3 linked regions of the Notamacropus eugenii genome follow. The protein of the gene in region 1 interacts with the protein of each later gene in a pairwise test. Links are inferred from orthologs where the notes say so. Each region holds a gene or a part of one and is shown on either strand. Other genes may lie near its edges. The genes, in order: PNKP, ZNF639 and TRIM37.

Region 1 (7,982 bases):
ACCCAGGCACTACCTGTAGCTGAACATGACCATGTCAGACACTGGAGGGTGGGGGGAGCCGATCATCTCTCTGAACTGGGGGGAAAAGTGACAGGGTCATAAAGTCAGAGGGTTGGGGTCAGAGAGCCCAGGATCATGGCCAAAGGTACCAGCCCCTCCTCACCCGGTTGTTGTGTCGGGCCAGATCCAGTGAAGCCGTGAAATGGAAACATCTACAGGGGACTCCAGCATCCTTGGCACATGAGATATACCTGCCGAGGTCAGGGGGAAGTTGGGAGGGCTCTATGTGGCTCTCTCCTGCCTTACTCTCTCATGTCCCCCTCAGTACCTGGCCCGGCTTGCAGGGTCAGGGTTGGTGTTGTCCACCACAGCTCGGCCCCCAGCCTTCAGGGCCTCAGCACAAACAGCCACACATTTCTGCCAAGAGCCCAGTGTGTCCTAGGGGAAAGTGATGGGGATTAAGCCTCAGCTCAGAACCTGACCTTCCCTCTCTTTAGCTGATTAGGGACATGGAGATGCACAGAACAATCCCTTTGCCTCAAGTGTCCCTGGCTGCCAACTAGAAACAAGACTCCTGTTCCCACAAGCTACATGAAGCCTCCGCTAAATGGGAGGTGTCCCAGCAGTGGGGGATTGGGCTGGCCCATCCAGTCCCATATGTACCCTGTTTGCATAGACGTAGCCAGCTGACACCAGGTGTTCCTGGAGAAAAGTTGACTTCCCAGCTGTGGGAAGAGATAGGGCAGAGAGATGAGGGATGGAGCTGGGTCTGGGGAAGGGTAACAGAGGTTGGGTGACAGAAGTCAAAGGCTGTCTCACCCGCTGGGAAGCCAACGGCAATGATGATCTCGGGGCCTGGACCCACAAGAGGCCCAGCAGGTGGCAGGCACAAGGGCCCTGTGGGGCTCAGAGTTCTCTGCAGGAAATTGGGGAGGAATGAGACCAGGCCCCATAAAAGGCTCCCATGTGTCTCCACCTCCCATCCAGAGCTCCCCAGACCTCACCGGGTCAAAGTCTGGGAGCGTGAAGGGGGCTGGAGCCCAATTCAAGAAAAACTCTTCGGGAGTTGAGAAGCGCAGGCCAAGGTTCAAGGCAAACTGAGAGAGAAAGCAGAATGAGAAAGTAGATCCCCCCAGACCGCAGTCTTAGGCAGGAGCTGGGGAGATAGGAGCCCTCACCAACCGGTCCCCACAAGAGAAGTCCTTTTTCTTCCGGTCTGGAGCCCAGTTGGCTGGACGTCCTGCAGCATCTGAAAATGGGGCTGGCCTCAGTTCCTCTGCCTCAGAAAGAGATGCCCCTCAAGCCTCTCACCTCCTCCCAAACTGCTCCTGACCTCACCTCCCACGTAGATGCTGTCTGCCAAGGAAATGGGGACTCTGTCGTTGGCCTGAGAGAAGCAAGATCAGAGATGCTGGGAAGAAGGGGAAGCGGGAAATACCCAGAGCTGATGAAAGCAGAAGGGAAGCAGGGCTGGGTCCCAGGGACATGGGGGCTGAGACCCCCAGAAACAGGCAGCTCCTCCCCTCCCACTCCAAAGGCAGCCCAGAGGCACCTGCTCACACAAGTGATCCCACATGCCTGTCACTGGTTTGCGGTAAATCCCCGCGCGTGTGGCCACCAGCACCTGCAAAGGGAAAGGGACACGGCAAGGGCAGGTAAGACCTCCAGACAGAGGCTGCCACCCGCTGCTCCGTAACGTGCTTCGTGCCCACCTGGAAATGAGCCCCCAGGGCTGACAGCACAGCCTCCACCTTGGCCTGGAAGTCTTGGGGCCGCAGCCGGCCTCGCCCGATGCCCAGCTGGTTGGTGAAGATGACGAGCTGTGGTCAAGGCAGGAGGGGAGGTCACTGGGGTCCTCGGCTCAGCCCCGCCACCCCCAGCTCTCCGGCCCCTACCTTGTACCCATCGGCCTCAAGCTCCTGGAGCCGCTTCGGGATCCCCGGGAAAAGGATCCTGGGGGGAAGGAGGAGGAGATGGCACCGGAGGGGCACCCCCTGCCGGGACCCTCCCCAGGCTGCGGCCTCACCTCCAGTCCTCGGGGCCAGTGGGGAAGACCTTCCCGGAGCGGGTTGTGATGAGGGTCCCGTCCAGGTCGAAGCAGGCCACCTAGGGGGGCAAAGCCGCCTGGTGTGGGACCTGCCGGGCACAGGCGGAGCCCCCCGGGCCGCCGGGCGGGGCGCTCACCTTCTCCCGGGCCTGGGCTCCGGGATCCGTGAACAGCAGCAGGGCCCCGAGCTCCTGCCAGCCGTGGGGGCCCTGGGGGCCGCGGGCCCGCTTGGGGGGGGGCGCCTCCTCCTGCGCCTCCGGAGGCCCCGCGGTCCTCAGCAGCGTTAGCGGGTACCGGCCGTTCACCAGCAGCAGCGTCTCCCCGACGGCCAGCGGAGCTCGGGAGCCGGGGCTCAGCTGGGTGCCCCCGGCCTTGGAGGGGTTCACGCCCAGCTGGGAGGGGGAGGGGAGAGGGCGGGGCCCCGCTGGTCAGGCCCCGCCCCCACGGCTGCCAGCCCGCCCTGCTGGGGCGGGAGAGCGGAGCCCCGCCCACCAGGCCCTACCCCGCCCCCACGGCTGCCAGCCCGCCCTGCTGGGGAGCGGGGGAGCCCCGCCCATCAGGCCCTACCCCGCCCCCCGCGGCTGCCAGCGTGCCCAGGGCATGCGTCCCACAACAGGAAACCCAACGAGCCGCTCTCCGGCCGACCCGATCCCTCCCTCCAGCCCCCCCACCCCCCGCCACGCTGTTACCTGCGTCACCATCACGACCTGAGACGCGGGGTCCACGTGCAGCTCCACTGGTGGGGGAGGGGAAGATGAGGTCCCGCCCGCTCGATGCCCAGGCCCCGCCCCCACCCCGCCGCGCTGGTTCCCCACCTTGGCTGCGCGAGCACTTCCGGTCGGTGACTCGAGTCTGTGGTCCCCGACCCAGCACGAGACTGCGGCCGGCAGGGGGTAAGGGGATCGGGGGCGGACCCCCAGGAGGGCTGTGCAGCCACAGGGAGGGTTCCGACGTGGCCATGCCTACCACCCCTGCACTGTGCCGGCTTCAGGACCGCCACCGGAAGTCCCGCCTATCCCGTCAGAGCGCGGCCGGAAAAAGGAAGGCTGGGCTCGTATGCGAGGCCTATTTCAATTTGACCCGCCCCTTTCCTTCTAGTGGGGCGAGGCCGCGCCCACTCCCGGAATCCCACCCCAGCCCCTTCCCAGAGAGCGGAGGCCACGGTCAAAGTCAAACTCTTTATTCGTAGGCGTTCCCCCTGCCCCTTCCCACCCTCCCAGGGGCGGGCAGGGCCCTTTAAGGCATGTGTGGGAACAGAGGATTAGCAAGCCCCCGAGGGCGAGGGGTAGCTGATCGGCTAAACCCTTCCCAGGAACAGGCCAATAAGGGGTGGGTAGCGTCATCGGATAGGGACTAATGCAACTGGGCCATCCCTGAGGTGGGGCGGAACCAGAACAGGGCGGCTGTAGTGTCGAGAATAGGGGCTTCTCCGTAGTAAAGTCTTTCCCCGAACAGCGGGAGCCACTGGCAGTTCAGGCATTGATTGGATCCTCCTTAAAGGGGAGGACCCAAAAGAACTAAGGCTGCGGTTGGCCAAGGGGACAACACAAGGGCCATACGAGGAGCTGATTGGATGCCCCCGCACCCTCCCCTAAAGGATGCTCCGGGAAAAGAGCCTGGGATTGGCCAGGGCCTGTGGAGGAGTGGAATTAAGAGGAAACTCGGGGAGTCGATTGGATACTTCCATTACCCTCCCCCAACGCACGGGAAGAGCAAGAAAAACGGAGCCCCAGAGAAAGGGAGGGTGGGGCAAAGAACGGATCCGGGATTGGCCAGGTCTGGACGTGCCAGGGGCGGGGCCAGAGGGCAGGGAATGGGGGTGGGGGAAGAAGGAAGAAAAAGGATAGGCGAAAGGGGAGGCGCAGACAGGCGCCCCCCCTCAATATTTCCGCTTGAGCTTCTGAAAGTCACTGGTGTTGAGGCGGGGCCGGGGTAGGTCTCCGAACACCTGGGAGCCTTCGGCCTCGCGCAGAACCAGGGCCTGCATGCTGGCCGCAATGCGCTCAAGGTCCGGGGAGGAGGGCTGTGGGCAGGGGGCAGCTGGTCAGCCAGGGCTACTCAGGGTCCCCTCCCTGCAGATCGAACCGCCCCCACCCCCCACCCCCCACCCCCCACCCCCCACCCCCCACCATGTCCACCGTCACTCACGGGCCCGTTCTCCTCATCCGAAGACCTGGTCTCCGTTCTCTTGTCCTTGAAGCCCCATACTGGCACGGAAACCGGCAGGGACTTGGCATACTGCTGGGGGACCTGGCTCACACACGGAGGGCCGGCTGGTGCCTCTTCGCTCAGGCTCCCGTCATCGGTGCTCTCAGGGTCAGATTCACAGAATGGGGGCAAGTCCTCGTGGGCAGTGTCTTCGTCCATCACAAAGAGGCCTGAAGGAGGGTGGGGGGTCTTGGTTCCCAGTTCTGACCTCCCAGGCTTCCATCCGGCAGAGCTTCCCTCTGCACCCACTCCCTCCTTCTGGCTCCTTCTTACCTCCGTCATCTCCCAGTCCTAGCCTGCTCCCTGAAGTCTCTGTTTCTGTCTCCTCCTCGTCCTCATTGCCGTCCTCCTGCTCCTTCTTGTCTTCTTGCCTCCGAGGATGGGGAGAGCTCCTTGGGCTAGGGGCCTGGGGCTCCGGTGCAGGGCGTGGTGCAGGGGGCCTGGCAGCCGCGGCCCGGTGGGCCTGTGCTATGTCATGTAAGCAGCGCCTGGCAGCTTCTGCCAGGGCGCCCCGGCCATGGGCTGCGTAGGCACAGGGGCCTGGCCGTGGTGGGGGCGGGGGTGCAGCTGTCAGCAGCACCAGCTCCGTACCTGTCTGTGCCCGAAAACGCTCTGCTGCCCCCACCACGGCTTCCCATAGCTCCTCAGGACGCCCAGATGCCATCCACGCCCTGGTGAGAGAAAAGAGAGTGACTCAGGTGGAAGCCGCGCATAGTGGCCCCCCCACTCACACACTTACACACACCTTAACAGAGAAGGGGACTGAAAAAGCTTGAAGAGGCTGTTTAGTGCAATGCCCTTCTTTGACAGAAAAGGCCCCAAAAGCCCAGAGAAGACCCTGGCCGGGCCGTCACCCTGTCTCTGCAGAGGCTTGTACAGAAGTCCCGACAGACACCGCCATGGGGGGAGCAACCGAGGTTACAAAGCGGTAGGTCTCACGCCGGTTCTAGGGCCGGTGACATAGAACGCCCGAGGGGAGGGATCTGGGGGCAGGGATAATCCAGGGGGATTAATGGGAGGAGGGAAAAGGCCGCAGAGTCCGGAATTGCATCCAGGTTTCCACCTAAGAGAGGATCCCCTCCACACCTGCCACCAGTTCCCCCAGTTTGGGCATGGAACAGTTGCTCAGCTCCGCCCTCCACGTGGGAAAACAGGAAGTCCTGCCCCTTGTGGGCGGGGCAAGGAGTTCCGAGGTACGAAGTAGCCCCAACCCTGTGGGGAGAGGAAAGAGGAAATCACCCCTCCTCCCCCTTCGCCCCGCCTCCCCACTCCCCAAAGAGGAAAACGGATGTCCCGCCTCCCAGGGGTTGGGAAAGCTAACGTCGAAAGCCGCCTTCTCGAAGAGAAGGCTGAAACCGGAAGTCCCGCCCTTGCGTGGGAGGGGGCACGCCAGGAGCCGGACCCCAGACCACCCCCCTCCGCTCCCCCATCATCCCGACATAGGTTACGGGCTTGGATCGGAGAAGTTCTGGAGTGAGCGCGGGGCCTCGGCCCCCTCTCTCCACGCGAGGATGGCTGCGCTGTCAGCTCGCTTACCTCGGCCGGGCTCCTGTCTCCCTGCCTCCCTCCCCGCCAGCCTTCGGTCCTCCCCAGGCGTCCGCGCCGCAGCCGCTCACGTGCTTGCGGCCAGCATGGCGGGCCTGGCGCCCTCACAGGGCATGGCGGCCTCGGCGTCATTTCCGCCCGGCGCCAGCCTCGCCGAAGCGCTCGCGACTCGCGGTCGGCGCGTCTCTGCAGCCTACCCTCGTTCTGCAAGGAGGGGCCCACCTGACCTGCCCTTAAACATCATGGCGGCCGCGCGGCTTCACGCCCCGCCCCTTGCCGAGGTCCATGGCGCTTCCGCCACAGACCTTATCCCTGAGGGGGCCGCTCCGCCTCCTGCCCGCGAGCATGGCCAGGTACAACCACGTCCTCGCCCCGGGGGCCCGCGACACCACGGCCCCGGCCGCTGCCTTCCTCCGGGTGACTCCCGCTCCGCTTCCCTTCCTCCCCCCACTTCCTTGCACGGAAGTGGTATGCCCCGCACTAACATGGCGCTCACAGCGCTGCGCAGCTCGCTTCTTTGAACGATGGCAGCACCGCTGCGGCATCCCTAAAAATCCAGGCGGAAAAGGTGGGGCTCTCGCGGTGGGGCGAGGCTTGGCAACTTCCGTCTTTGTTTACTTCTTGCTGGGAGCCCGCATGACGCGCCGGCGCACTGCCCAGTCTCAGCACCGCCCCCCCCATTGCATCTGCGCAGAACGCATTTGTTACTCTTCTCCCTCTTCTATTAGTGGTTTGATCCGCTGACGGCCGAAGGAACAAGCGGACGCTACCATTTTACTCCCATCGAGGGGAGGTTCGTCCCGCCGGATGTGACGTAAGGAATTTGTCTCCGGAGGCGGAGCGAGCTAGGGGTGTGGCCTCGGCCCCAGCTGCGACTATGGAGGAAGCTGGCTACCGGGTAAGAGGTGGCGGAGAACCTAAGAGGCCTCCTGTTTGACCTTTCCTTCCGTCCTTTAGGAACCTGGGTCCTGCCCTTCTCTGACCCTTCCCCACTACCCTTCTGGCCCCCGATCTCTTAGCGCACGCGTCTCCCTCGGCCTCGAATCCTCGGTAAAGCGTCAGCTGCGCTGATCTTTCTGCGCATGCGCCCCTGCTCAGGTACCGCCCTTGGGCGGAACTGCTTCCTCACTTCTGGCTGTGCGCATGCTACCCACCCGCCCCCGGGCACCCGCCTCCCCCTTTTGCCCGCTTCTGTGCACGTGTGCAGGCTCCTGCTGAGCCTCAGCCTCATCCCCACCTGTAGGTGGTTTTCGAGAAGGGCGGAGTATACCTGCACACGAGCGCCAGGGGGCGGCACCAGGACCCGGGCTCGCTCATCGCTGGCGTACTGCGCCTGCTCGAGAAGGTGGGTTCCCAGCAAGTGGGCGTGGCTTGGGCCGTGGGGGCGGCCTCGGGCTAGCTGGGCGGGGCAGCCCTGGGTCTCCCATTTCTTCTCTTTGTCCTTCCCTCCCCCCAGGACAATGACGTCATCCTGCATTGGGCCCCAGTGGAAGAGGCCGGAGACTCCTCCCACGTGGTTTTCTCTAGGAAGGTGGGCACCCCGCCCCCCCAGGGTCTTCTTCCTGGGGTCTCGATGTGTTCGGTTTCTCCTCCCCCTCCGTGTCTGGGGGGCGTGCCCCCCAAATCAGGCTGGAAAGTTCTGGCCCCCCACCCGCGTGTTCAGTCTCCCTTTCCCCACGACCCTCCCATCCTATCTCGGGGTGTGTTGGCGTGCACCTCCCCTCACACAGTTGGATCGCCCCTTTCCTCTGGGAATATGTGGGGCCCCCCGTATATCTAGGTCTCTGCTGTGCATTTGGGGCTCCCTCCCCAGGAGTTTTCAGGGCCTCCCATACATCTAGGTCTCTGTTATCTCAGGGCATGTCTAGGGGCCCCTCCCCAGGATATATGCAGCCTTCACAAATTCAGATATCCCCTCTCCTCCAGGGTATGTTCAGGGCCCCACCCCCTTGTGCTGTCTCAGATCAGTCTGTTCCCCTTTAGGGGGCTCAGTGTCTACTTGTCAAACCCACGGTGACAGGGTCAGAAAATCTGGACTCAAATTGATGTTTGGGGTTTTGACTTTTTGGTCCCATTTTTACCCATTGGTGTAATAGGGTTGGGTCACCTTGTTCCAGGGGTGGGTTCTATAAATGCTAGGGCAGACCCAGGATCCAAGATTTTACTATTTCATTTTCCCTCA
Region 2 (7,349 bases), on another chromosome or scaffold:
GAGAGAATCATGGATCCCAAACCAGGCTTTGACAACCACTACCTTAGGCTGGATGAAGAAGACTCATTTCACTTTCCTGAATCTCAACTTCCCCATCAGTAAAATGACCAACAATTGCAGTACCCATCTCAATGGGGTAGTGGAAAGCTTTTTTAATCTTATAGCACCACAGAAATATGTGTCTAGCAACCCCTTATACTTAGAAACATTCCAATTTGCCATTATCATTATAAAATGAAGTTTTGTATTTTATTCCCCCAAATAAATAGATGAAAGGCCCACCCAAACAGGTTATTTCATCCTGGCACTCGGCCATTATCACACAACCAACCCTTCATCTACTACAATCATCTGACTTCAGAGATCATCTCAACCAACTTCCAAATCTACAAATGAGGAAACTGAGGCCCAGGGTTATTTAGGGCCCAGCTCAAAGTTCTTCAGTTATTAAGCAGAGCGTAGCTTAAGGATGAAGACCGTCTGCCCTGTGGGTTGTACAGAGCACCTGGCTCAGAGCAGGTGCTATTGAAGTTGGGTAGGCCAGACTCCACCAAGGCCCCAAGATGTGCCTGCATCCGGCTCACCACCAATGCTGTCCAAATGCAGCAATGATAGGGGCTCACATTTACATCAGGTTTGCACACTTACAAACAGCTGCACACATAGGATCAGGCAGGGCAGGAAGGACCTATCACAGATCACCAAGTCCAGCTCTACTTTTATTCTGAAGTCCATCACATATTTTATATTCTCCCAAACAGGGAAGAGAAGACAACTCTGTGCTGCTGCTGAAACAAAGGCTCACTGCTGCCTCAGACCTGCACTATCTGAATGCCCACAAGGGCCAGACTGCCAGACAGGTCAGGACATGGCTTGGGAGGCTTCCTAAGTTTATCCTCTAGCCAATGCGGCTGCTTTTCCTCTGACAAGCAGTAGTCTCCCAATTCAGAAACTCCTTAACTTTCACACTCATTAAGTTGCCTCCAGGGCCCTTGCTCTCTGCTAACCTCTTCTTTTGGTGTTATTTCCAGGGAATGTTGGGGGGGGGGAGGAAGCAATAAAACATTTATTTAGCACCTACTGTGTGCCAGACGCTGTGCTAAACCTTTCCAAATATCATCTCATTTGATCCTCACAACAACCCTGGCAAGCAGATTACTGTTACACTCATTTTACAGTGGAGGAAACTGAGGCAGACAAGTTAAGTGATTTGCCTAGGGTCACACAGTTAGTGTCAGAGCAGAAAGGACTCTACCCAAAGTTCCACATGATAGTAAATTGCTCTGTGTCTCTCCCTCTATGGGAGACTACTTACAATGATGGGTCTCCTGGTCCCATCTCTCCCCATTCTAAACCACTCTCTACTCAACTGTCAAAGTGATCTTCCTAAGGCATATTCCATATAATCAAAATGTTAACTTCTAATGGCTCCTTAGTATTTCCAAGTTAAAATATCAATTCCTCTGTTTGGTATTTAAAGCCCTAAGTGACCTGGCTTACTCCCCTCCACACATTCTAGGATCCAGCAACCCTGGCCTACTTTTCCTTCTTCATAGAACATCTATCTGCTGATTCCATGCCTTTGTACTTGCTGTTCCTCATGCTGGGAATGCTCCCCTTTCCTCATTTCCACCTCCGGGCTTCTCTGTTCTTCGTTAGAGACAGTTCACAACCCACCTTAAAGCAGAGGCCTTTGCAAATCCCTCTTCCGGGTGCCTTTCCTAGGAGATTCCCTTGCATTTACATTGTATCTATCTCCTAGATACAAAGTTATTTCGCAGCCCTCTCCTCGTAGATACTTAAGTTCCTAGAGGGAAGGGACTGGCTTTCTTTTTTTTGGTCTTTTTATTTTTTTGCTTCCTGAGTCTAGTGCTCTCGAGCTGCCACACATGGAGCACCACTTAGGAAGCGCTTGTGGACAAATCACTGTCCAAAGCCTCGAGGCCACGAGTGGGGCAGGGCCAGGCCTCGCGGCTCAGTCTAATTAATGCACGTCCCACCGAGTGGATAGGGGAGATGGGGATGAGGACGGCGATGATGGAACACCAACAACCGTCAGTGCAGTTTTCACGAGGTTACACGGTTTGTGGAGCACTCTCCCCATACAGGGGGCAGCCCTGGGACCTGGGGGTCAAAGAACCTGGCCTCCAAAATTGCTTCCACCGCAAGCGATCTTTGCTACCTGGGGCAAATGGCCTATTACCATTACTAATAATACCAACAACTGCTAACGCTCGGGGCTTTAAGGTTCGCAAAACGCTTTAGAGGGAACGTGACCGCAGCGTCAGCCCTACTCCCCCCGCAGCCCCCACTATCCAGTCCATGCTACATATGAAGAAACTGAGGTCAGGGTCGGGTGATTGACTTACCCAGGGCCACGCTGCTAGGCAGGTAAGTATTAGCGTGTCCCCCATTTTACAGACGAGGAAACCGAAGTACTGGGCGGTTCGGGGGATAGCCCGGGGTCAGTAAGTGGCAGGGGCTGGACCTGAATTCGGGTCTCTCTGAGCCCAGGCCCGGAGCCCTCGGCCACTCATGGCCTCACCCGGGTGACTCGATTTGCCCATCCGTACAATGGGCGCGGGCGTGCTGCGCGCCCACTCCGCGGATGGAGCCACTGAGGCCCCGCAGGCAGGGCCCGCGCGGCGTGGCGCAGCGCAGCCCGGGCCGCCTCGGACGCGCCGGGAGGAGGCCACGCGCTGAGCCCGCCCGCCGGCCGCGGGGAGGGCGTCACGCCGCGCCATGCCACGCCGCCCGCCCGCACAGGCCCCGGCCCTCGCCCCGAGCGCCACCCGCGCAGGCCCCGGCCTGCCCAGGCCCCGCGTCCGCCCTAGACCTCCCCCGGCCCGGCCCCGCCGCGGCCCGCACTCACCACCTGGCTCCGCGCCTGCGCCGTGCACCTCCCGAGACGGGGCGGGGGAGGGGCTGCCGGGAGGGAGGGGGGGCGCGCGGCGACCGCACGCACACCCGGCCAGGGAGCGACCACCAGCCTCCAGCCCCAGCGCAGGCGGCGGCCGCCGCGCGCCCCCTGCCGGACCCTCCGTGCCGCTGCGCCGCCCGTGCCCCGCCCCCGCCAAGGGAGGGGCCGAGCAGCCAGCCCGCGCGCCTGCCCCCGGCCACGTGGGACCACTCCGGACAGGACCCCTCCCCCTCCCCCCGCCCTCCTGCGCGGGCGCGGGAGTCCGGAGGCGGTGAACGGCCCGCGTGGGGGCTGAGCCCTTACCTGACTCGGAGGCCTGGAATCTGAGACCTCGGCCCGAGGGATGGTCAGGAAAGGTGCGAGCTTGGGTGGGTGGATGGTGGGTCCGTGAACCGACCAAAGGGGTAGATAGTACTGATACTCATTGTGGACAACTCGTCTTTCCGTAACGTTTTACATCTGCAAAACAGTTACGAGGCCGAAGAACTTGTTTCTGCTCCTGCTGTTAATAAGCTAGTATTTAGGTAGTACCTACTATGTGCTAAATATCTCCTTAGATCCTCACAACACCCCTGAGAGGTAGGTGCTAATATAATCCCCATATTACAGTTGGGGAAACTGAGGCAGACAGAGGTTAAGTGACTTGCCCAAGATCACACAGGTAAGTGTCTCAGGATGTATTTGAAATCTGGTCTTCCCGACTTCAAACCCCACTCATCCATTGGGCCACAGTAGCTGCTAGTGAATTCTACCTACTACCTGTTGACATCTAGGGGAAGTCACTTATAATGATGATAAAAATAAGTTTTCACATAGTGCATTAAGATTTACAAAAAGCTTCCATATATGATCCTCACAATTGCCTTGAGAAGTGGGTAAGATTGTTCATTCCTATCTTGCAGATGAGGAAACTGAGGCACAGAGAAGTTAAATGACTTGCCTAGGGTCACACAGGTAGTCAGTGGCCAAAGAAGGTTGGCCCTCAGGTCTTCCTGACTCCAAGTCCAGCATTCTATCCATTGCATTACATAGCTACCTCCTCTAGTCCAACTCCTACTTGAACGAGGATCTTCTACAACATCCTCAAGAAGTAGTCATCCAGCCTTTTTCTGAAGCTTTCTAGTGAGGGGGAACTCCCCACCTCCCCAGTAAGATGACATATGGGCAGCATTAATCTTTAGGAAGCTTCTCTGACCTCTAGAACATCTTCTTATCGATCAACAAGCATTTATTCAGTGCTTACCATATGCCATTCATTGTGCTAGAGCTGAGAATATAATGAAAGACAAAAATAGTCCCTCAAGGAGCTTACTTTCTAAAGAGAGAATGTAAATAACTATATACTACATATGTGTGTATATATGTACATATATAAGTTTCAGAGGCAAATTAATATTTTAATTTAGAAACTCATTACATTTTTGAAAAGGTGGGAAAATTTCTTCTGGACTTCTATGGAACAGGACGTATCACTCCTACAATTGTTCCACATGAGCATCTTTGAGGTTTTTGAAAGCTGATATTCTGACCCAGTCTTTTCTTCTCCAGGCCATCCAGTTCCTTTCTTTTATTATCCTCCTTCTATGGCATGATTTCTAATCCATTCCTCATTCTAGCAAAACTTCTTTGGACAAGTGCAAATTTTTGTTTTGTTTTTTTTTTTTAATTAGAGAACCTATAATTTTATTGGCATAGAATCTGTGGGATAGGAACACTCCCTCAACCAAAGGCAATCATTTGCTCTTGCATTATGGTTTTAGATTTGCCTGGGCCACTGAAAAGTTAAGTGACTTGACTGGGACCATCCAGTCAGCATTCATTAGAGGAAGGATATAAACCCAGATTTTCCTGACCTGGAAGTCAGTCCTCTGGTCACCATTCTGCTGCCTCAAAAGGTATCAATGTCCCTATTAAATGTGACCCCCCCCCCCGAAGGACAGCATTTAGGTGTGGTCTGCCAGACAGTACTAGGCTGACTGCCTTCTCTTTCTAGACACTATACTTCTCTATGAAGCGTCAGATCTCCTTAGCTTTTTCTTTCGCCATAGGGTCATGAGATTAAAAATTTAAAGGAACTTCAGAATTCATCCAGTAATTAAATGTGTCCCTCTAGGCTCTCAAGTGTAGCCTTTTGACTGAATCCAAACGTCATAGAACAAATCCCCTTAGTAAAAGGATTTGTTTTGTAAAACTTGGACTCAGTCAAAAGGATGCACCCAAGGACCTAGAAGGCCACATGTGGCCTTGGGGGTCACAGGTTTCCCCCGCCCCCATTCTAGTCCCTCACTGTACAGAAGTGAGGCTCAGAGGGAGAAATTATTGCTTAAGGATGGGCAATGAGTCCCAATTCGAGATCCAAACCTTGGGAATTCTGATTAAATTCAGTGCCATTTCCATTGCAAAATTCCACCTCTTGTTTCCTATCATCCTCTTTTACTCCTTGGGAATAAAGAAGGGAAAGAAGGAGCAGTTGTTTATTCAGATACATGTTGAAGAAAGCACCTTGGAGAGGACCAGTTCATATCAAAGTAGGGCAAGAATATTCATGCCCAAATTTGGCCCAGCCTCTTCCAGGCCTTCTTTCTTGTAAAATCTCCAAGGGCCTTAGCAGCAGTGGAAGACAAGCAAGGTGACTTAGTGTCACAAGTTTCATTACAGCTAGGCCTGCCTCACTCATCCTGGGTTATCCCCAGAGGGGTCAAAAACGCTCCTGGTGTTCAGTATTTCAACAGAATGTGCATAAATCACATAAGATGGGCTGTAAGATGCTTACCCAATAAACATCAGCAGACCTGATTTAAACAGCTTGAAAAAGGATCACCTTTAGATTTGAAAGAAACATGAACAAATCACTAAAATTCTCTAGGTTTCAGGTTCAGTAAAGTGACAGACTAGACTAAATGATCTCAAGTCTTTTTCAGCTCTGGATCTCAGATCAAGATCCTTTTTATTTCCCTGAAGTCATGACTATTGTAGATATGACTACTGGAAACAGCTGGGTACTGAGTCGGTCAGGAGATCCTTGTTCTAAGCACTTCTAGGTCTGCTCTCTAGCAATACAAACCTGGGCAAATCAATTTCTGTGTTCTCTGTGGCCCTGTTTCCTCATCCATAAAAAGAGAAATTTAGACCTGATTATGTTAAAGGTCCCTTCTAGTCTTAACCATCCTGTGGTTCTATTTTTACATTTAGGATCAATTCAGCAGCAAGGAGGTCATCAGGTTTTGATCAGATTAGGTATCATTGACCTCTTCTAAAACTGACCACATGGGGCTTTAAGGCTATCAAAACTCTTGACATCCATCTTCTTGTTTGAGCCTCTTTAGCAGCTCTCTGCAGTTATAATCCCCATTTATGTTGAGGAGGAAACATGCAGAAAGGTAAACTGATCCAGACAGAGTTACACGACTGGTTAATGTTAGAAGATGGGTTTGACCTTGGAACTTTTGGGCTCAAGTCTAGCCATGAATCCACATTCCACAGCATCCAAAGTACTAAAGAAAGTACAGCATCTCTTTTAGGAAGAAAAAAAAAAGTGTTTACTTCCAACCTAATAACCACAAGGGGGTGGAATGGGATCACTATATCATGTTTTTTGCTTCCCAGCAAATCTTTAAATGTAACTTTCTGTGTACTCTGTAGGACAGAGTCTGTACGACACATTTTTGACCACTTTGTAATATGTGGAAATCTACTTTTTAAAAAAAAAAAACAACATTATGCTAAATGAAAGATCTCTTTTAATAAAAAGGAAAAATCACAAAAGTTTAATGGCCCCATACAATATCCCTAAATTAGAAAGTACTCAGTGTCATGTCAGCTGGGATTAGTTTTCTAATTTCAGGAAAGGCAGACCCAGAACCGCAGCTCTAAGTTAATATGGATGGGGGAGGAGGGTCAATCTTGAAAACTTTCTAATAAGAGAGAATAGTTAGTTGTGCACTTACCCTCACTTTCCTCTGGGAACATCAGAATTTCCAGTCTCCTTCATAAAAGTAAAAGGGCTCTAAGCTCCCTGTAAGCACCCAGGATAACAAGATATCACATACAGTACAGACATGCCTCAGAGGATAGGCATTATCTTATCCCAACAAGAACTACAAAGAACTTGCTTCTAAGCTTATAAACAGTCAAGACAATTCTTCCTCCTCTCTCCTCTCCAATGGGCCTCCATCATACCAACACAGTGTTCCAAATTTAAATATTACTCTACATGGGCCTCCCCTGGCTCCCCAACAAGGGGAAAGACCTAACTGTTGCCAGGGAGTCCAGTGGATCCTCCCTTCTCTTGGAACCTTCAGAGTCCACATGACTCACAGTACAACAAAGGACAGATCCAGGTTGATGCTCCACATTGTGCCCCTCTGCCATGATGATCCTTCACCTTTGCACCTGTCAACAGCCCTTTTTCTCCTGGAGGAGGGGCACA
Region 3 (8,383 bases), on another chromosome or scaffold:
CTAGTGAGGCACTTACTGAAGACACTGCAAATTTCATTTCAAAGCTATGAATGGAAATCAGACTTAAAGAGAGTGGGATAAACTGAAGCATAAAAATAAGAGAAATCTTATAGATAATCTGGTCAAACCCCTTCACTTGACAGATGAGGAAACTAATGTAGACATCAAAAAAGCTGAACTAACTTGCCAACAGAAGCAGGACTTAGACCCCAAGTCCCAGTATGGTGCTCTTTCCACCATACCACAGACTGAAAAAACTGGAGGAAGCGTATAATAGTGATGACAAAAGAGAGACGGCTTTTCTAAGGCACTCACACTAAAGGAGTAGGTAGATAAAAGTCTAAGATAAAGTGAAGTTTAAGGATGAGGAAAAAAGTCATTACGAGGCCCCAAAGTATAACCATTATGTTATTACCTTTCACATCACCCTCACACATTCTGAGGTAAGTAAGTATTCACTTGGAGAATAATGTCAATGAAGCACAAAGAAAAAAATTAATCCAAACCCTTCCCATTCATTTCACTGACAATAATAAAATTATCACATTTTAAAATAAGAATTGCAATAGCCAGGGAAGAACAACAAAGAAATGGAAAGTCCACCTTAGCAATCTATCAGAAGTCTCCTTAAGTCATAACCCAACCTACTTACTTCTAACTAAAAAGAACAGTACTTACCCGGATGCAGCTGAAACAACAGAGCTTGGAGCAATGTGGACACAGACGTGCATCACGCAATTTCTCCATACAAATGAAACATCGGAAAACCTCAGCAATACTCTAAGAAAATAATTAAACCACTACATCAGGCAACTGAATCAACATTAATATAATACCTTATTGGGAATTCTAAATGCATTCTGTGAGAGAAATGGGTTGAACAGTTCAACAAACATTAAGTATCTACTACATGCATGGCAGTGTGCTAGACACTGGAAATTCACTAAGAACCAAAAGAAAAAGAGCAAGACCCTAGAGTTTGTATCTATTAGGGTAGGGGTTCCCAGTCTGGTATAAATGTTCCCCCAGGAAATAAGAAAACCTTGTCAAGGGAGTAGAGGAATATTTGGTAAATAAATGTCAGTCTATTGAAATACTTCAAAAGTAATAGTGTTAGTGAAAAAAATGAGTGAATTGAGAGAAAAATGGTGAAGAAGCAGGGGCAGGGTAGGAAAGGCAGGAGCACTTTAAAAATCTGAAAGGGAGAATGAATATTTTTTATAGACCAAAACCAAATAAATGAGGTTTGGAATATGAAACTTTTCATTTGGATCTGGAAAAAAATATCAACATCCCAGTGAAAGATGAACCAATTCATCTCCACAGTAACTAGAGACTTCAAAATGATTTCCAATCAATAAAGTTACAAAACTTGGGGTATACCTTTGGAAAACAGTAAGCCATTCTTATATGTTCACAAAGCTTTAATTTCATTTATAACAATTTGTCTTTGGGAATCAGGTTTCTCAATCCTGTTCTCAATTAAATCTAAAGCAAGAAAAAAAGTGGAAGCTGGATATGGCATGCAGATATCTCTTTCAAAAATTGTACCAAAAATAAAACTGTTGACAAGAAGAATGAAAGGTCTCACTAATTTATCTTAATATGTTCTAACACAACATTTGATGGGGGAAAAAACCTTTATAATACTAAACGGGTTATGTACCAAATAAAGCTTTCTTTATTAAAAAAATAATTTCTCTTTCATTTCTTATATGCACGTACATAGTAAACTCTAGAATTTATTTCCTTTCATATTGAATAAAAGGGTACCAGAAAGTTGACTGAAAGCCTAGGGATCTGAGGATGCAATCCAAAAAGGTTGGGAACTCCCGAGGGGGAAAGGGGATAGAATATAACCTAACGGAACGTGCGTGTAACAAAACTGGAACGTAGTGTAAGGGGACAGCTAACAGGACAGCTACGCTGAGGGAAATCGAAGTAAATAAGCGTACAGCAATAAACCGACAAATACGTCCCAGCTAGTAAGAGGGCAGCGAGGGTCCTCACCGGCCACCTTCGGCAGCACTTGGGGGCTCAGGGTGCCTTAGCACACGTCCCAGAGTAAGCCCCCACCCTTCTCGGGGTTGTTCCCCAGGGGTAGAGGGAAGCTGGGGAGGGGGCTAAGCTCTGGTTCTCATTCCCCTTGCCTCCGGCAGACGCGGCGCCTCAGAGCCCGAACTTCTGCACGTCTTTACCCATCCCTTGGAGGCAGGCAGGTTACCAGGCAGAGAAAAAAGGGCCCGGCAGTGCGGTAAGGGGGAATCGGGGCACCGCTACGAGCCGGGTGCACAGAGTGCGGGCACACGGGCACCCATTCCTTCGCATTCCATTTCTGGACAGGGATTATTGTGCAAAGGCATCTCCCGGGAAGGAGCACCAGAGGCGCACCCAGCTGACTGCGGCACTTGGGGGGGTGCCGGGAGGGGGGCCATCGGTGTTGGGGGGTCGCCGGTGGGAGGGGGTGGGCCGGTGGGGGGGCATCGGTGTTGGGGGGCGTGGCGCCGAGAACCAAGCGAGCCTGGCTCCTTTGGAGCACGCGACACGCCCCCCTCGGAAAAGGCTAAGAGGGCGGGGGGGGGGGGGGGGGGTCGGAGCTGCCCCGGTGAAGAACGCCCCCTCCCCTCCCCTCGGCAGTGACGTCGCCCCTCTTCTCTCACCTCCACGCTCTGCTCATCCATTGCCTCCAGCTCCCGCCAGGCCCCGCGGTATCCCGCGGAGTCCGTCCTTCTCCTCCACCAGGTGTTAGAACCGGGTGGCCAGGTCCGGTTGGCCTGAGAGAACAGCAGGATGCCCGGGGTGGGGGTCAGGGGCTCGGGTCTACCCGGTCCCGCCTCGGCGCCCCGCCGCTCCCGCCTCCACGCCGCCTAACCCCATTTCGCCATTTTTGTCCGCGCGCGCCCCACCCGGGCGCCCCTCCCTTCTCCAGTCAGCCGGCCCCGCGCGCCAGGCTCAGCCCAGCCCAGCCCAGCCTAGCCCGGGGGGTCGAGCGGGCGAACAGGGAGGACAATGGGCCGAGCGTGAACCCCCACAGCGGCTCCCTCCCCCCCACCCCCCCCGTGACAGGGGGAACGGCTCTATCCCGCCTAAGTGCTGGCGCGGGGCTAGGAGAGGGGAGTACCGGGACACCAACGGTAACCAGGGCAGCTGGTGGCTAGGGTGGTGGCGGCAGCGGGAGGGGAGCAACGCGCATGCGTAGGAGGCCTCCGCAAGAGAGGAGAAACGTGCTCTTCGCGACGCGGCGGAGCACGAGACCGTCCCGCGGCTGCCGCAGTGTCGCGCGCCGCCCCCCGCGGGCCTGTAGCGGCTGGCTGGGAGCGGGGCGGCGGTTGGCTCGGAGTCCGCGCGCCCGCGGAGGGGGCGGGGCCTGGAATACCGCAGAGGGCGGGGACTAACCGGAGGAGGGGCAGCGAGCGCTCCTCCCCCCCCGCCGGAGAGCGTGCTGACCCGGACTGCGCGACTCGGCCGGATCTTGGAAGAGTCTCCTGGATGCCCTGCCCCCCGTTACCGCGCGAAAATCGCCCTTCCGCCGCGTGGAGAGCGCGCCGGGCCGGTAGGCCGGGCCTCCAGATGCCCCGCCCCCGGGACAGCTCCCGGGCTTTCTCAGAGCCGAACTCGAGCCAGGTGCCCTGGGAGGCTGCACCTCGGTGGGTCTTGTCCGGGTGACTGGCCCGGGATAGGTGGGCGGGTGGACGAAGGAGTGCATTGGAAATAAGGCTTTGCTCGCGCTGCTTCTGGCGGGTCCGGTCGGGGTCTGGGCCAGCGGAGGACGAACGCGGCCGCCTCGGCCGCTGGCACGTGTCAGGCGGCTCGCTGGGTGCCTTTCCAGCCCTTGGGAACGCCCTGCGTGGAAAGGTTCCCGTCTGCCTGTGAGCCCTCTGGAGGAAGCGAGGCCCCCTCCCACGCCCCCGGGAGGAAGAATGGCGGGGATTTGTATTGTATTCTGAATGTAACGGCTGAGAGAAGGAGCGTTCGTTCATTCAGAACAGAATAGGACAGATTGGCTAGGGAAAGGCAGCTCCGCCCGGCAGGGCCAGCCTCCTAACGTGCTGTTACGGAAGGGCCCCCGCGGGACGTGCCGCCACTCACCTTGGCACTTCCCGCAGTAACCTCGGGGCATCCTGCCACCGCGGGAGGAGGAAGGAGGACATCAGTCTGCTTATATGTCGTATTTCTCAGCTCTTCCCCTGACCCTGGCCGCTGCTCTAAGGACTGTCATTCTCACAGTCTAACCTCGCTTTCTCTGGAAAGAGTCATGAGCTTCCTTGGCTGCTACCCTCAGCATCCCACCCCTGATGCCACGATGCGCTTTCCTAGTAACAGTGGCATTCATGTAGTGCCTCCTGTGTGCCAGGCTCTTTACAGGTATCTCAGAACAACCCTGGGAGGTGCTGCCATTCTCCCCATTTTACAGCGGAGGAAACTGAGGCACACACGCATCGATTAAGAGACTTGCCATGGTCACAGCTAGTGTCCGGGGTCCAGTTTGAACTCAGGTCTAGGCCGGGTGCCACCTCGCACTCTCACTACTAAAAATAGAGGCTCCTTGAGGACTCTTGCTTTTTATTTAATCTTAGCCCCTGAATACAGAGCCTGGCACTGGAGAAGGGCTTCGGCAGTTCGGGAAGGAAGGGATAAGAAAAGAATGATGTTTTCAATCAAGAAAATTAGCTCCTACCTCTCTCCAGGCCCCCACCCTTAAGTCTTTCCAGACTTGTGTCCCTCTAGGTCTCTAAACCCTCTTTGTGTTTCCTTCTAACTATTGCCTCTTAGGGGCTTCCTTCCCCTTTAACTTGCCTAGCCCTCCTCCTACTGACTCGTTTGGGGGTCTTAAGTCTGTATTCATCTTTTTTCTCAGCTTTGGGGAAGAATCTATTGATATGTATCAAAATATATGTAGTTCTAATTGAGCCCCCAAACTGGGAAAAATCTCAACAATTAAAAAAAGAATCACAGTCCCTGTCTCTTTCCTCCACTTCCCCCTTAGGCAACCATAGTATGTTACTCGGGGCACAAACTGAGTATCAGAGAAACAATTTTCTTTTGATTGCACTTGACAAATACAAAAAGCAAACAAACTCCCAAAGAAGTAGGAAATCACATTTAGACTCAGCACAAGAACTAAAGGGAGGTAAAGGAAGGAAACAAGCATTTATTAAACCCTTTATGGTGCTCCAGGCACTGTGTTTAAATGCAAAGAGCGTAAATGCAAGCACAAAGAAAAGTCTCTTCCTTCCAGGAGCTTACTTTCTAAGGAGGAAAAATCACACGCTAAAGAAAGCTGAAAGGGGGCTGTGGAGGAGAGGAAGCAACAAGAAAGGGGAGGACCACGAAGGCAGATTGGCCTGGTAATCATCACAAAATAGAGACTTCAGGAGGAACTTGCCAAAGGGAGAAGGATGACAGGCCTTGGGGAGAAATATTGCTGGCTATTAGGCAAGGAGGCTCTTGGAATCAGAACAGGGAAGTAGGCATTTCAGCAGATTTGTTCTCATAATCAAAGACGGTCCCCACCATTCTGCATTGGCTTGAGCTACATACAGTGTTTTCCTAGCATCTCGTCTCCCCCAACAAGAAATAGCATTAGTGGTAGTGCTGAACACCAACCAGTAATTCTAATCTGTTCCCCGTCCCTGCTTCAGTTGTTTACACACCCCCTTCCCTTAGGACTAGTTGCCAGTTCTTGGGTTATAGTACACCAAAGACTTCTGTCCTATTCTGAAGGCATCCATCCCAGCTGCATTTTAATTCCTTGGGTAAAAGGCTTCTACAAATGTTTTGTTCTTGTTCATTCAGGGGATTTTTTTTCCCCAGACCTGGGGCTTAAGCCAAATCATGTGTGCTGACAATACAGTTGGCTGCCCCAGTAACAAGGTCGAGTTAGTCTATGCCAGAGGTGGGGAACCTGCAGCCTCAAGGCTACATGTGGACCCCCAGGCCCTCAAATGCAGCCCTTTGAATGAATCCAAACTTTACAGAACAAATGTTTGGACAAACAAAAGTTTGGATTCAGTCAAAAGGCCACAAGTTCCTCACCCTGGACTCTATGCATATCCTCCATCCCTTTTTTCATATTCACTGAGCTCACAGGTCTAATGAGTAAGGATCAGAGAATCGTGTAAGTCTTAGGGCAATAGATTACCAGATCTAGAGCGAAAAACAGATCCTCCAGGTTATCTAGTCTTAACACCTTTATTTTGCAGATGAGGATTACAGGAATGAGGAATGAAGTAATGTACCCAAGGTCTCACAGCAAAAGGGGAGGGTGGGGATGGGGGGTGACTAGCCAATGAGGGGCCTAGTCCTAGCAGTATACACAAATGCTTCTGTCTGCTGCCAAAGTATGTAGATGCTTGAGTGGTCTGCTTCTGGAAGTGAGATGTAACAGAATGGAGAGGCCACATCTTCCACTTCAGAGCATATGCAAACACTGACTTTTCTGTTCACCTGCGATATCATCCTGGAAAACCTTTTTATTGACTACTGATCCAAAACTGAGTGTGCATAATAAAGATACTGACAATTCAATCCCTCTCTTCCCTGCTTGCCATTGTAGGCCCTCCCCAACCAGTATAATGTGCCTTGGAATATATGGCACCTATGTTGCTTTTGTCTCTGTTGTGTCTCCTATTTTTAGAAGGAAGAAAGGAGATGAGCTTAGAGGTCACTAAATCCTATAATAAGGATACCTACAGCCACATATTGACTTAGTTTTAAAATGTAATAATCTATATCTTATTATGTTTTGTCTTCTTAAATATTTCCTAATTACATTTTAATCTAATTTCAGCAACATTAGGGAATGTTGTGAGCTACATGCAGCTCTGACCCAGTAACACTTCTATCCTAGAATATTTAAGGAAAAGATACAATAGCTACTCTCAGGGACCCAGTCTATTAGTGGGAGTAGGAGCTAAAATAAGAACTCCTCCACTTTTTTTTTGTTTCTGTTGCTATATAGGTAGCAGAGCTGGGCTTCAAATCCATAATGTAATTTTTTTTATTACACCATGCTACTGGAAAGTCCTAGTTATTGAGCTATTTTAAGCATTAAGTACCCTTAGTAGATCAAGGAAACATAAAAAGACATTGGTGGGGTTTTTTATTGACTTTTGTGTAGTGTGCCCATTTCCTCCCCTCACCCCTTCTGAGTCATTATTTCTGTGATAAGCTAATTAATGCCCAAAACAGATTGTGAGAAAAGATTATTATCACTGTGGCGTGAAAAGGGGTTTAAGAGACAAAAAAATACAAAGGCCCAAATTCCTGCCTGTCAATTCAATCCAATCCAATCCTACAAATGTTTGTTTTAAACATCTGCTAAGTACCAGCATTGTGCTGGAGACCAGGATGTAAAGGCTAGAATAACAACAACAAAAATAAAAAATAACCAGAGAGAACTTACTTTCTACTTGAGGGGGGAGGAGGAGAGCAGAGAAGGGAGAGGAGAAGCACACATGCCAGTGATCCTTAAAGGGGATGGCTGTATGGAATGCTAAGTGTGCTGCGGAATTCCTTCCCATACCCTGAGACTTCTACCTTCTCCCAGCTGCAGCTTGCTTCCTGTTTTTCCTGCCTTGAGTCAGGAAGGTCACGGTAGCAGTTATATCCACCACAGTGCAAAGCTGCCTCCTCAACTGGGAGTCAAAGGGAAGTAAAGTGGGAGAGGAAAGGAAAGGCAAAGAAATCCCAATCCCCAGATAAAGGCTGCTGTAGGCCTGACTGCCCAGGAACCGTTATTTGTTGCCAACTTAAACATTCAGTGTCTTGTGATTTTTCACAACAAAGAATACTTTGCTCTGAAGGGGGGAAAAAAGGTTTGATTCACAAAGTTAAGTAAATACAAAGGTTATCCAAAGTAATTACAAGAAGAAACCAGGAAAGCCTTTCTATAGGAGGAGGTAATCCCTACATTGTGCTTTAGACAAAGCTGATTTCTGAGAAGTAGAGGTGAGCAGTGACTGCATTCTCAACATGAAGTCTACCTTGTGCAAAGGGCTAAAAGTGGGAGGTGGCACACCACGTTTGGGGAACAGCAAGGGTGTGTGGATGGTAATATAAAATATTACCGGAAAGGTATAGGGGACCCATGGTGTGGAGGATGTGAAAAATCAGACTGAAGATTTTGTATTTTATCCTTACAACAGGGATTCTTAATTTGGGGTTCAGTGAACTTTTTTTTTTTAATTATTGTATTTCAATGTAATTGGTCTCCTTTGCAATCCTATGGATTTTATGTGTTTAAAAATATTATTCTAAGAAGGGGTTCATAGGCTTTATAAGACCCCCAAAGGAGTCCCATGATACAAAAGGGGTTAAAAACCTTCATCCTAGGGGCAGTTAGGTGATGCAGTGAATACAGCCTGAGGTCTGGAGTCAGGAG

The links.
Region 2: the proteins of PNKP (region 1) and ZNF639 interact in binary tests that used the Homo sapiens proteins (3 or more experiments, as listed by UniProt). The two-hybrid records come from large-scale screens. The link is inferred for Notamacropus eugenii from reciprocal best matches to the Homo sapiens genes PNKP and ZNF639.
Region 3: the proteins of PNKP (region 1) and TRIM37 interact in binary tests that used the Homo sapiens proteins (3 or more experiments, as listed by UniProt). The two-hybrid records come from large-scale screens. The link is inferred for Notamacropus eugenii from reciprocal best matches to the Homo sapiens genes PNKP and TRIM37.

What each region holds. Positions count from the first base shown.
Region 1 is NC_092876.1:12,096,745-12,104,726, reverse strand, and holds the start of PNKP (bifunctional polynucleotide phosphatase/kinase), read right to left. Parts: upstream 3,008-7,982; coding exon 2,863-3,007; intron 2,784-2,862; coding exon 2,737-2,783; intron 2,440-2,736; coding exon 2,185-2,439; intron 2,107-2,184; coding exon 2,027-2,106; intron 1,954-2,026; coding exon 1,896-1,953; intron 1,821-1,895; coding exon 1,713-1,820; intron 1,625-1,712; coding exon 1,553-1,624; intron 1,388-1,552; coding exon 1,339-1,387; intron 1,250-1,338; coding exon 1,179-1,249; intron 1,098-1,178; coding exon 1,005-1,097; intron 917-1,004; coding exon 820-916; intron 726-819; coding exon 664-725; intron 439-663; coding exon 329-438; intron 252-328; coding exon 164-251; intron 76-163; coding exon 14-75; intron 1-13. Other genes in the region: AKT1S1 (proline-rich AKT1 substrate 1), read right to left, coding at 3,927-4,070, 4,196-4,425, 4,529-4,926, 6,106-6,287; TBC1D17 (TBC1 domain family member 17), read left to right, coding at 6,678-6,698, 7,044-7,145, 7,257-7,331. UniProt on the Homo sapiens protein: Plays a key role in the repair of DNA damage, functioning as part of both the non-homologous end-joining (NHEJ) and base excision repair (BER) pathways.
Region 2 is NC_092877.1:344,920,623-344,927,971, forward strand, and holds the start of ZNF639 (zinc finger protein 639), read right to left. Parts: upstream 3,040-7,349; 5' UTR 2,873-3,039; intron 2,570-2,872; exon of another isoform or gene 2,370-2,569; intron 1-2,369. UniProt on the Homo sapiens protein: Binds DNA and may function as a transcriptional repressor.
Region 3 is NC_092873.1:371,820,452-371,828,834, forward strand, and holds the start of TRIM37 (E3 ubiquitin-protein ligase TRIM37), read right to left. Parts: upstream 3,375-8,383; 5' UTR 3,122-3,374; intron 2,905-3,121; exon of another isoform or gene 2,775-2,904; 5' UTR 2,682-2,774; coding exon 2,661-2,681; intron 781-2,660; coding exon 679-780; intron 1-678. UniProt on the Homo sapiens protein: E3 ubiquitin-protein ligase required to prevent centriole reduplication. Probably acts by ubiquitinating positive regulators of centriole reduplication.